3 linked regions of the Cricetulus griseus genome follow. The protein of the gene in region 1 purifies or fractionates together with the protein of each later gene. This does not show direct contact. Links are inferred from orthologs where the notes say so. Each region holds a gene or a part of one and is shown on either strand. Other genes may lie near its edges. The genes, in order: Anapc2, Cdc27 and Anapc11.

Region 1 (3,747 bases):
AGTGAGGGGCTCCCACAGTACTTGGACTAGGACCAGGGCCTCCTTGGCAGCCCAAGGGGATACAGGAGCTTCCGAGAGAGGCCCCTCATGGAGCTAACCAGGAGCTCAGGGTCCCCATGACACATGTGAGTACAGAGCCAGGAACTCCTTTCCTATTGGACTGTCCTAGGGCTTTTCTTGTCACCCAAGGCAGGTGGAGGTCGGAAGTTGCCCCTCTGGGCACCTGAGATAGTGAGAAGGCATCTAAGGCCACGAAGAACAAAGATGCTTCAGGACAGACATGTTGGGGACTGGGCAGCCATAGGCCACGGCTGAGACAGCCACTTGTCAGCTGTCCTTGCCTCCACTACTCTTCTGGTCTGAGGCTGTGGCTTTAGTCAGGTTCCCAGCTTCCCTTTTGAGGACACTAAGCAGAGTCTGAGAGCTCTCCAGGATCTGGGGCCAGAGAAATAAAAGGATTGTTATTTCTCTGGTAGGAAGATCTCACCGCCGCAGCCACTCACTCTGGAAAATGGGAATCTCCATCTGGCCTGTGCTGAAACCAACCGGCCACGGGGGGTGGGGGGTAGGGTAATAGTTACACTCCCCAAACCCACCCTCCCTGCAAAGCCACGCTGCGTTAGTTCTGGCCCACACCATGTACTCTTTCCAATACACCGCCTGCTCACTCTCCTGGATCCCATAGACAGAACAGCCTCGGAACCGCAATGGGCCCGAGCCTGAGATCCTAGTGAGGCACTGACAGAGCACAGCTGAAAGCCCCACCTTGAGGTAGGCGGCCTCTGTCTCTGCGATGGTCCGGTCAAACTCGTTGCGAGAGGCGATCTTGCGCGCCAGGTTCTCGTTGACGCGGGCCAACTTCTCCGTCAGCTGCCTCACCTCATTCTGAAGCCGCTGCTTTTCATCCTCCTCCTGCTGGATCTGCCGGCACAGCTCCTCTCGCTTCTGACACAGCTCCTCGATGCCTAGGGTGGGCGGGAAGACAGAGCTGTGGGCTGGGGCTCGTGAGCTTCGGACCCCGACTAGCACCACACGGGGCAGGCCGCAGAGCGAGGCTCGTGAGGCGTGTCCGCGCGGCCTCCCGGGTGGGTCGGCCAGACCCTGGCCCGTGGCCCTTAGCCTCCCGTGCCCGTTGCTTACACTTGACCAACTCGTTGTTGTAGTTCTGCAGCGCCGCGCCCTGTTGGGTCATGGTCGGCGCCGCGTCCGGAAGCCTCAACCGCCGCCCGCACGGCCAGGCCTGCGCCTGCGCACTGCCCCCGCAGCGCGCGCGAACGCGGACGTCACAGCGGCGCGCCAGTCCCTTGCTTGCGTCATCACAGTGCGCTACATTGGGCGGGTCTGTTTTGTGGACGCTGATGGAGGCCGAGGCTGTAGCGGTGGCGGCGACGGCGGCGGCGGCGGCGGCGGCGGCGGCGGCGGAGGCAGTTGTCGCCGCCGATGACTGTGACTCTGGGCCTGGACAGGAGCTCTTGGTTGCTTGGAATACCGTGAGCACTGGTCTGGTGCCGCCGGCCGCACTGGGGCTGGTGAGGCCTGGGGAATGGTTGGCGGGCCTGTGTGGCGTTGCCTCGACTCTGCATGCTTTAGGTTTAGGGAGTCCATCTAAAGTCCTGTAGGGGACTCGCCTCCTTCCTCAGCTATCTGATTTGTTTGGTTCCTCCTGCAGCCTTTGGCTGCTGAGTTTTTTTTCTTTTTCTTATTCTTCTTTCATTTCCCTCCCCTCCTTTTACCTCTACCTCGCCCCTCTGCTCCAGGCATCTTCTCGTACCAGCGGTGCGGTTCCACCAAAGGAGGAAGAGCTCCGTGCAGCGGTGGAGGTTCTGAGGGGCCATGGTCTTCACTCAATCCTGGAGGAGTGGTTTGTGGAGGTGCTGCAGAACGACCTGCAGGGCAACATTGCCCCAGAGTTCTGGAATGCCATCGCCCAGCGCGAGAACTCTGTTGATGAACCCCAATGCCTTCTACTGCTCCTGGATGCGTTCGGCCTCCTGGAAAGCCGCTTGGATCCCTACCTGCATAGCCTAGAACTCCTAGAGAAATGGACTCGTCTGGGCTTGCTGATGGGCACTGGAGCTCAGGGGCTTCGGGAGAAAGTTCATACCATGTTGCGGGGTGTCCTGTTCTTTTCCACCCCCAAGGCATTTCAGGAAATGGTCCAGCGTCTCTATGGCCGTTTCCTGAGAGTCTATATGCAGAGCAAGAGAAAAGGAGAAGGGGGCACAGACCCCGAACTAGAGGGTGAGCTAGACAGCCGGTATGCCCGCCGAAGGTACTACCGACTCTTGCAGAGCCCTCTATGTGCAGGATGTGGCAGTGACAAACAGCAGTGCTGGTGCCGACAGGCACTGGAGCAGTTCCACCAGCTCAGCCAGGTCCTGTGAGTACTGCCTCCTCGGCCATGCCCCAGTTTCTTTGGATGCCCCATTTGTTCTGAATTCAGTAGACCTCTGTGTAGAGCTAGTGACAGGTGAGGTCTTTTTCCATTTTTACTTGCTGCCAAGAATTATTTTGGTTTTTCAAGACAGAGTTTCTCTGTGTAACAGTCCTGGCTGTCTTAGAACTCACTTTGTTGAGTTCCAGGTTGGCCTGGAACTCTCAAAGATCTGCTTGCTTCTACCTCCCAAGTGCAGGGATTAAAGGTGTGTGCCACCACTCTCCTGGACATAGGTATAGGGTATAGAAGGGCCCTCCTAGGTAAGGGACAGGTGTGTGTTGTGGGTTCTCCATGAGCAGGGATTTCCTCCAGGCATAGACTCAGTCTGCTGGAGAGGGTCAGCGCTGAGGCCGTAACCACCACCCTGCACCAAGTGACTCGGGAAAGGATGGAAGACCGCTGCCGGGGAGAGTATGAACGCTCCTTTCTTCGTGAGTTCCATAAGGTGAGACTTCTCCCTGGACTGTGACCTGTCAAGGGCAAAAGTGGACTTTCTGCAGACCTGATTGCAAGAAGTAGGCAGATTGACCAGGAGTAGTGATAGCTGAAGTTATCTTGGTGCTGTTTAGAGGCCAATCCTGGACCCTGGTGACAAGGACAAATCTGGTATGTACTAAATAGGCCTGTGCAGAATCCTATAGCTAGAAACAGAATCCTGGGCCAGAGGTGGTTCCAAGGGATTTCCCCAGACAGATATGGCAAGACAGGCCCACCAGACCCTTTTCTTTCCATTGCCCTATAAAATGTGTGCTCACTTAACAGTTCCTTCTGGATTAACCCACAGTCTGTACCCTAGCATGGAGTTAGGGTGTCTCAGTGAAGGCCTCTGGTTGCCGATAATATTGAGGTATGGTATGTAATTCTGCTATGGGGTTCCCAGCATTGTGGAAAAGCTAGGTTCAGCCCCATGAAGCTGTCCACCCTGTTTCTGCTTCACTCCTGACCTCCCATTTTTCAAGTATCTATCCCCTGTGGATGCCTGTTAGCCATGATGGGAAATGTTCAGAGTGGGTGTCCCCATAGTGATCATGAGCCTAGAGTCATGAGCCTGCAAGCTCTTGGGGCAGCCACATTGAGCCTTGGGCAGTGGAGTGCAGGTTTGGTGGCTCCTCTAGGGTCCTGTCAAAGGCATATGGCTACTGGGTCAGGCTGGATCATTTAAGTGTTATTACACCTCATACACTAATGATCTTCCACAGTGGATCGAGAGAGTGGTTGGTTGGCTTGGCAAAGTGTTTCTTCAGGACAACACTACCAGGCCAAGTTCTCCAGAAGCAGGGAACACACTGCGCCGTTGGCGCTGCCACGTA
Region 2 (3,647 bases), on another chromosome or scaffold:
TTTCCTCAAACTGTTCACGATTCCTGGAATTGTGCTTCTTGTTCTAAAAACTCTATAAATCCAACAAATCATCTAGTTTCATCACCTTAGTAAATTCAAAACATTTAAATGTTTAATTCAGTATTTGGACTGTATTCAATGAAATGAAGATGACAGAAAATAAGAAAAGGGCTTTTGTTTGAAATATCTACTTTTGTCTATGTATGCCACATGTATGTGGGTACCCAGGGCCAGAGAGGGCATCAGATCTCCTGGAGGTGGAGTTATAGACTGTTGTGAGCTGATGTGGGTGCTGGTAACTGGATCTCTCCAAGTATAGCAAGCGTTCTTAGCTATTGAGTCATTCTCCAGCTACAGGAAAGGACATTTATAAAATTGGAAACTTTTGCCAAAACATCTTGATTTGGCATCTAGAGTCAATTTGCTGTTTTGTAAGTTATCTCAATTCTCTTAAAAGTTGTATGCTAGGAACTTCCAAAAGGGGGCTGGAGAGATGGCTCAGTGATTAAGAGCATTGGCTATTCTTCCAAAGGTCCTGAGTTCAATTCCCAGCAGCCACCTGGTGGCTCACAACCATCTGTAATGAGATCTGGTGCCCTCCTCTGGCCTGCAGACATACATGCAGGCAGAACACTGAATACAAAATAAATAAATAATAAATAAATATATCTTAAAAAACAACAACAATGCCGGGCATTGGTGGCTCACGCCTTTAATCCCAGCACTCGGAAGGCAGAGGCAAGTGGATCTCTGTGAGTTCAAGGCCAGCCTGGTCTCCAGTGCCGATAGGCTCCAAAGATACACAGAGAAACCCTGTGTGTGTGTGTGTGTGTGTGTGTGTGAATCCCCACAGGCTATATAAGACACAGCAATTGGCCATATACAGGTATCTTTTGCCTTCAAAGTTTTCAGAAACTATTGAAATCTTTCAAAAGTGATTATTACCTAGGAATGAAGGCTAAAGGAAGAGGAATGTGGCAAGTGTGAGGCCAGCCTGGGCCACACAGTGAGCTCAAGGTGAGCCCATAGCAAGGTCTTGCCTCCCAAAAATAAAATAAAAATGGAAAGCAATTACAAAGATCCAGGTGTGGTGGCACATGCCTGTGATTTCAAGGCTAGCAGGAAGAATACAGTGAATTCAAAGCAAGCATTAGCTATACAAACAAACAACAAGCAAGTGATTATGATCTATACAAACAGGAAAATAAAAAAATACTACTAAAAAAAGTTGAAGGACTGGCATCTTTGTATACTTACCTGCATGTATTCTGAAAGTTCAAAATAAGCTCGTCCAATTTGGCACAATACCCAACCAGTACTGTAGTGGTGAGAAGGTAGGTGGCTCAAAATATTTATAGCTTCTTTGCAGTTGTATGAACACAAAGCTAAATAACCTTTTCCCATTTCACGAAGAAGACTCATCAAACCTTCTAGGAGAAAACAATATAATAAACAAAGGAGAAAAACACAACTGTGGTTTTCTAAAAAAGCTAACCAGATTACTCCTTTAAAATATAGTTCCAGTATCTGGTTGGCAAGATGGCTTGGTGGTTAAAGGCTCTTGCCACCAAGCCGGGTGACCCAAGTTTGATTCCCATGACTAACCTATACATGCACACATGCGCACACACAATCTTTCTCTCAAATACAATTTAAAAATGTTTTAAGGGTGCTCAGTTGTTAAGAGCATTTTCCATCCAGTTCCCAGAATCCACATGGCAGCCCACAATCATCTATCTGTAATTCCAGTATAGGATTCACACCTATTTTGGCTTCTGTAGGCATATATATTCAACAGAAATACAAAAAAGGACACAAATTTAAAAACATAAAACCGAACATTTTTAATGCCAGTATTTATCTAAGAACAATGAAGGCATGAAGAAACTTATCAAAATAAGTGTATAATAAACTAAAGACACAAGAACCACAGAAACATTTACAACAGACCTGCAGCTGCCTTCTGTAGGTTAAAGGCCTGGATCTGAGGAGTGATTGTGGATAATTTCCCTTCTGAAATGATAGAAGAGTCCAATTTTGTAATTTCCAGACTATCATTTATGTTGGGTTGAGTTATTCCTCCTTTGTTAGTTTTACTTTTTGTTTTTCTGTTTGGGATTTTAGGTGGAAACTTCATTTTTAGCTTTTTGCTATTCTCCTGTAAAAAGGGATAAAATGTCATGCTTGTCATACTCATTATTTTAGATGTCTCCATTTACGTTTTCTTGAGTACTCATGTAAAAGAAATGCATAATCCTCAACAGTCTTTTGTTTTCCTTATCAGAAATTCTATATGTAAAAAAAAAGTCTTCAAAAAGCAATTTTTTTTTTTTTGCTTGTTTTTTGTTTTGAGACAAGGTCTTACTTTTTGGCTCATGCTGACCTAAAATTTGAAGCAATACTCATATTTTAGTCTCCCAAATATTAGAATCACAGGAATGAGTCAACAGCCCAGTCATTTTCATTTTAAATACAACAATAAGCCACACAATTAATAGTGACTGATGTTATTCTGCACCAAGGGCAGCTCTCTTCAGAGTGGATCACATTCTCAAATCACTATTTAAAAGTAACAAAATGCAAAATTAACTATATCAAAGCACTGTAATCAATTGTATAAAACCACTAACTGGATGTATCAAAGGTAAATTATTCACGTCAGTCAGAAGACCAAGAAACAAAGCGTTCTCTCATCTTTTGCTTTTACCTTTAAAGTAATTCTAGGAAGATAGTAACGTGACTAAATCTCCACTCATTCTTTCCTCAGTGGTAACATGTAAGCTACAGAACCATGGACATTTCCCAGCACTTATATCAATTCTTTTGCATGTGTATATATAGAGTAATTTTATCAAACAAATGCATTTGTGCAAGCAACCACAACATTTATGATATAGGATTATTCTTCCAGAACAAAAAATCCATTTGTACTACATTTAAATAGTTTTATCTTCCCTCCAGCCTTATTTCCTGATTAAGACGCTGACATTTTTATTATAATTTGGTCATTTCAAGAATGACATATTTACCCAAGAACCAAAGAGAGCAACAAAAATTATAGCTAGCTCACCACGTAAAAATGATTTAGTACAGCATGGTGGTGCACCTGTGTAGTCCCAGCACCCGAGAAGCTAAAGCAGGAGGACGGCAAATTCCCAGACCAGCCTGAGCTCCATAGGGAGTCCTCTAAACAAGGTGAAAACAAACCCTTTGCTTGCTTGAGATGGGGCCAAGCAATGCACAGAAATCTTAGCACAGTAAATGACCATGACAGTCATCCTTACCTTGGCTGTTGAGCTGTCACTAGTGAAAAGGCGGGAACTCCTTCGAGGCAATGCATTTGGGGGAGATGTAATAGTGGGGCTCAATACCTGAGGTGTTGTACTAAAACAAACAGAAACGTTTAATATTTAGCTTATGACCATTAACTATTGTCTCAATTCTATTTTATTAAAACATGCATTCATCATAGAAATATTTTAAAACTGGTTCTGTTTAGTTCCTTTTGGGTCTCTACGAAAACTCAGAATTTAAAAATTAAGAAGCTAACAGAATGGCTCACTGGTTAAAAGTACTTGATGCTCACCTAGAGGACCCAAGCTTTGTTCCTAGTGCCCATTCTGGGTGGCTCACAACTGCCAGTCAGT
Region 3 (3,747 bases), on another chromosome or scaffold:
AAAAGACTTCAACCAAAGGTATGAGAACAATGCCCCTGGTAAGACCCAGGAAAGGTCAGTCTGGAAGACACACAGCCACCATTCACCCCTGTGCCTTCAGACATGTGGGGGTGGGGAGAGTTTTCCTTCTCATAAGCTTACTACTACAGGCACAAAGCCTGAGAAGCTAGCACCCTCGGTCACACAGGGACCGGACTTGTGGCCAGTCTGTGCCCGTTAGAAACTGTAAGCCTTGCAGACGGCAGGTGCTCGTGACGTTAGCAGACAAGAGCCACTCTGGGGGCACACCAGGCTGCCTTCCAAGCAGCCTGACCTATCAGTCACATTCAAACCCCAGGGGATACTACTTTTTGTGAGGGCAGCGGCTGGCCCTTGGGCAGCCTGGGGGAGCACAGGCTCTGATCAGAAGGGATTCTGTGTGTGGGGATAAGCATGCGGACGGCTCTGGTCTCTTACCTGAATATCTGCGTCTGACACTCCAAAGTCAAGGTTTGACACCAACAGTTTTCCGCCGGTCTCCACGCCGGCTCCACCCCCGAAGCCGCTGTCGAACAGATCGTGCTGCCATTTGTCTGGAAGTTGTTTCGGCTGAAGGGAAAGAGAGGTTCGTGAGCGACCTCGTCTCGGGCGCCCCGATCCCTCCCCGGCACTCACACTCTCTCTCTCACGGCGGCCCGAGAGCCCGGAGGAGACGACCCCCACGCCCGCCGCTCCGCCGCCACGAGGCGGGACCGGACCGGACAAAGCGTCCCGGAAGATCCCGGCCTGTGACCGGGGCCTCGCTCACCGCGCGGCGTCGCCCCCGCCCACCCTCCGTTCCGTTCCGTTCCCGCGGTTCCCGCAGGACGCCCGCCCGCCCGCCTCAGGGCGCCGGGAGCCCGCCCCGCCGGCGCCGCGCCTCCCGTGCTCACCCTGCTGTAAGGAGCCGGCCGGTTCCTGCCGCCGGCGGCGGCGCCGCGAGAGATGGCGGGCCGGTTCCTCAGAGGCCCGCCGCCTCGGTTCACCCGCGCGGCCGCCTGCACCGCCCCGCCGCGGCCGCCCTGGGCGCCGGCCCTGCCACGGCCCCTGCCTCCGCCGCGGCCGCCTCGCTGGCTCCGGTTCAGCTTGATAATATCGTCCAAAGACATGTCCATTTTGTCGGCCATGGCGGGCGCGGAATCGGGCCTCAGATCGAGCCCGCGCGTCAGCACGTCGCTAGGTCACTTCCGGAGCTTCCCCTGGTCTTCCGGCGTCGCGGCCCCCGAAGCTGCCCCTGATTGGCCTCGGCGCGCGCGGAGAGCGGAGGGCGCCTGCGCTGCGCTCAGGAGGACGGCCCGCGCGAGTGTGTGGCGCCCGGCGCGGCGCGGTCGTTTTTATACCTCCCGCGCTCCTGCAACGGAAGGGCGGGGCGCCGCGAGATTAGGTGGAGTGGGCGAGGCGTGGGCGGGGCCTGGCCTGGGATCCGCCCTGCGCAGGCCGGAAGGCGCCGGATCGAGTTCGGTCCGTCCGCCCGCCGAGTCCCTGAGCTGCGAGGCGGGGGGCCGATCTGTGGATCCGATTTGGGGTTTGTGGGCTCGAAGGGATGGTTTTTTAAAATTTAATTTTATTTAAATTTAGCAAGCTGATGGCTTGTCACGCGCGGGTTGTGAGTGAAAACCGAGGTGTTTTTCATGGATGCAGTGGTTTTTGTTTTTGTTTTCCTCCTTTGGTTTTGGGCGGATCTGCCTCCGCGGCGCTGAGGTTAAAGGCGTGAGCCAGCCTGGCCCGCTACCTGGGTGCACAGCTCTAAAAACGACCTTCAACATAGCAAAACAACTTGGGAGCCTGGCTCCCTGGAGGCGCCTAGCACGCAGCTCCCCGCCTTAAATGCTCAAGTGCCGTCTGTGGTAGTAATACAGAGTAACTTTAGCCAGGAAACCCTCTTCCCTCAGGTCGCACGCTCTGCTGCCATGAAGGTGAAGATTAAGTGCTGGAATGGTGTGGCCACGTGGCTCTGGGTAGCCAACGATGAGAACTGTGGCATCTGCAGGATGGCGTTTAATGGCTGCTGTCCAGACTGTAAGTGCCCCCCCTCCCCCGTGCTCTCAGAACTTCGGCCAGCTCCACCAGCCTTGAAAACCTTGGGTTTCCCAGCACTAGGGAGGCAGAGGCAGGAGGATCTCCGAGATTCCAGGACAGCTAGGGCTACGCTGAGAAACCCTGTCTCGAAAAACTAAGAAAACCAGAAAATAAAACCGTGGGTTTTACTTTCCATTTCCTGAAGGAAAGTTGACAGAAAATAAACGAATTCTTCAAACTCACTTTTGTATAAAGACCCTATCCAGCATGGTGGCAAACATCTGTAATACCAGCATTTGGGAGCAGAAACAGGTAGCCTCTGAGTTGGAGGCTACATAATGAGAGTCTGTCTGTAAAAACAAAGAAAAGCAAATAAACAAAAACAACACTTTTGTTTTTGCCAAGGCATGGTGGCACAGACAGAGGCAAGAGGAGGCTTGAGTTTGAAGCTTGCCTGGGATACATTGTGATGATTGGTCATTCTCTTAATTCCTCAAAATGCTACTTCCAGTTTGAATTTTCTCCAAGCAAAGCAGAACAAATGAGGATACCCCTGCCCAGCACACTGAAGTTCAGACAGCAGTTTCCATACTTTAAGTTGATGCTTATAAACTATGAGCAACTTAAGCCCCGTGTCTCACAAAGCTGCTCTAGCATCCTCGTTCCAGCATCTTTCCCCAAATGTCTTGTTATTGGGGTTTGAGCCATTCTTGACATCTCAGGACTCTCAGCTCTCTGTTCTAAATACTTCTTACTATTCTTGTTTTCCAGGCATTTGAGCTTTATGAATTTAATGTTTTTCAGAATGCAAAAGGTCTTTATTTATTTATTTATTTATTTATTTATTTAGAGACAGGTTCTCAGTATGTAACCCTGGCTAGATTGAAACTCATTATGTAGATCAAAGGTCACAGAGATGCCTGCCTCTGCATCCAGAGTGCTGGGATTAAAGGTATGAACCAATGTGATCTCCCAGCCTGGTTTATCAGCCCAGAGTTAATCATCTTGATGCAATTAAAGAGCTGTGACTTGACTTTTTTTATTAATTTATATTTTACATTCGAATCCTAGTTCCCCCTTCTGCTCCTCCCACTCCCCCCCCATCTGCTCCTTGGAGAGGGTAAATCCTCCCCTAGGAAGTCTACTAAGTCTCCCCTATCATCTTCTTGAGGCAGGACCAAGGCACCTCTCCACCCCCACACCCCTGTGTCTAGGCTGGGCAAGCTATCTCTCTATAGAGAATGGGCTCCACTGAGTCAGTTTGTGTATTAGATTAGCTCTTGGACCCACTGCCACTGGCCTCATATTTGTCATTTGTCTTTTTTTTTTTTTTTTTTTTTTTTGAGACAGGATTTCAGTATGTAACCCTGGCTAGCTTGAAACTCACTATGTAGATCAGTCTGGTCTCAAGATAAAAGAGATCCGCCTGCGTCTGCATCCAGAGTGCTGGGATTAAAGGCGTGTACAGCTCAGATCACCTAACCTGGTTTATTGGCTAAGAGTTAATTATCTTGATGTAATCAAGATAATTATCTTGATGTAATTAAAGAGTCTCTTTTCCTTTTCTTTTTTGATTTTTAAGACAGGGTTTCTTAGAGTCCTGTGCCACCACTGCCCAGCAAGTGTGAGTTTCTTAGGAATTCATTGATTTTTCTGGTTTAAGTTTTTATTTATAACATTTGTGATTAGTAACTGAACACACAGTTCTAG

What was found.
Region 2: the proteins of Anapc2 (region 1) and Cdc27 purify together in Homo sapiens (affinity purification with western blotting; 20 studies listed by BioGRID and IntAct, with this or other methods). This does not show direct contact. The link is inferred for Cricetulus griseus from reciprocal best matches to the Homo sapiens genes ANAPC2 and CDC27.
Region 3: the proteins of Anapc2 (region 1) and Anapc11 purify together in Homo sapiens (affinity purification with western blotting; 7 studies listed by BioGRID and IntAct, with this or other methods). This does not show direct contact. The link is inferred for Cricetulus griseus from reciprocal best matches to the Homo sapiens genes ANAPC2 and ANAPC11.

The regions. Positions count from the first base shown.
Region 1 is NC_048599.1:136,623,081-136,626,827, forward strand, and holds the start of Anapc2 (anaphase-promoting complex subunit 2), read left to right. Parts: upstream 1-1,332; 5' UTR 1,333-1,358; coding exon 1,359-1,529; intron 1,530-1,757; coding exon 1,758-2,380; intron 2,381-2,749; coding exon 2,750-2,882; intron 2,883-3,636; coding exon 3,637-3,747. Other genes in the region: Ssna1 (Sjoegren syndrome nuclear autoantigen 1), read right to left, coding at 328-435, 766-965, 1,141-1,192. UniProt on the Homo sapiens protein: Together with the RING-H2 protein ANAPC11, constitutes the catalytic component of the anaphase promoting complex/cyclosome (APC/C), a cell cycle-regulated E3 ubiquitin ligase that controls progression through mitosis and the G1 phase of the cell cycle.
Region 2 is NC_048600.1:117,544,937-117,548,583, forward strand, and holds part of Cdc27 (cell division cycle protein 27 homolog), read right to left. Parts: intron 3,385-3,647; coding exon 3,285-3,384; intron 2,159-3,284; coding exon 1,951-2,158; intron 1,431-1,950; coding exon 1,258-1,430; intron 1-1,257. UniProt on the Homo sapiens protein: Component of the anaphase promoting complex/cyclosome (APC/C), a cell cycle-regulated E3 ubiquitin ligase that controls progression through mitosis and the G1 phase of the cell cycle.
Region 3 is NC_048600.1:133,092,630-133,096,376, forward strand, and holds the start of Anapc11 (anaphase-promoting complex subunit 11), read left to right. Parts: upstream 1-1,265; 5' UTR 1,266-1,402; intron 1,403-1,415; exon of another isoform or gene 1,416-1,559; intron 1,560-1,910; 5' UTR 1,911-1,928; coding exon 1,929-2,037; intron 2,038-3,747. Other genes in the region: Alyref (THO complex subunit 4), read right to left, coding at 457-588, 912-1,145. UniProt on the Homo sapiens protein: Together with the cullin protein ANAPC2, constitutes the catalytic component of the anaphase promoting complex/cyclosome (APC/C), a cell cycle-regulated E3 ubiquitin ligase that controls progression through mitosis and the G1 phase of the cell cycle.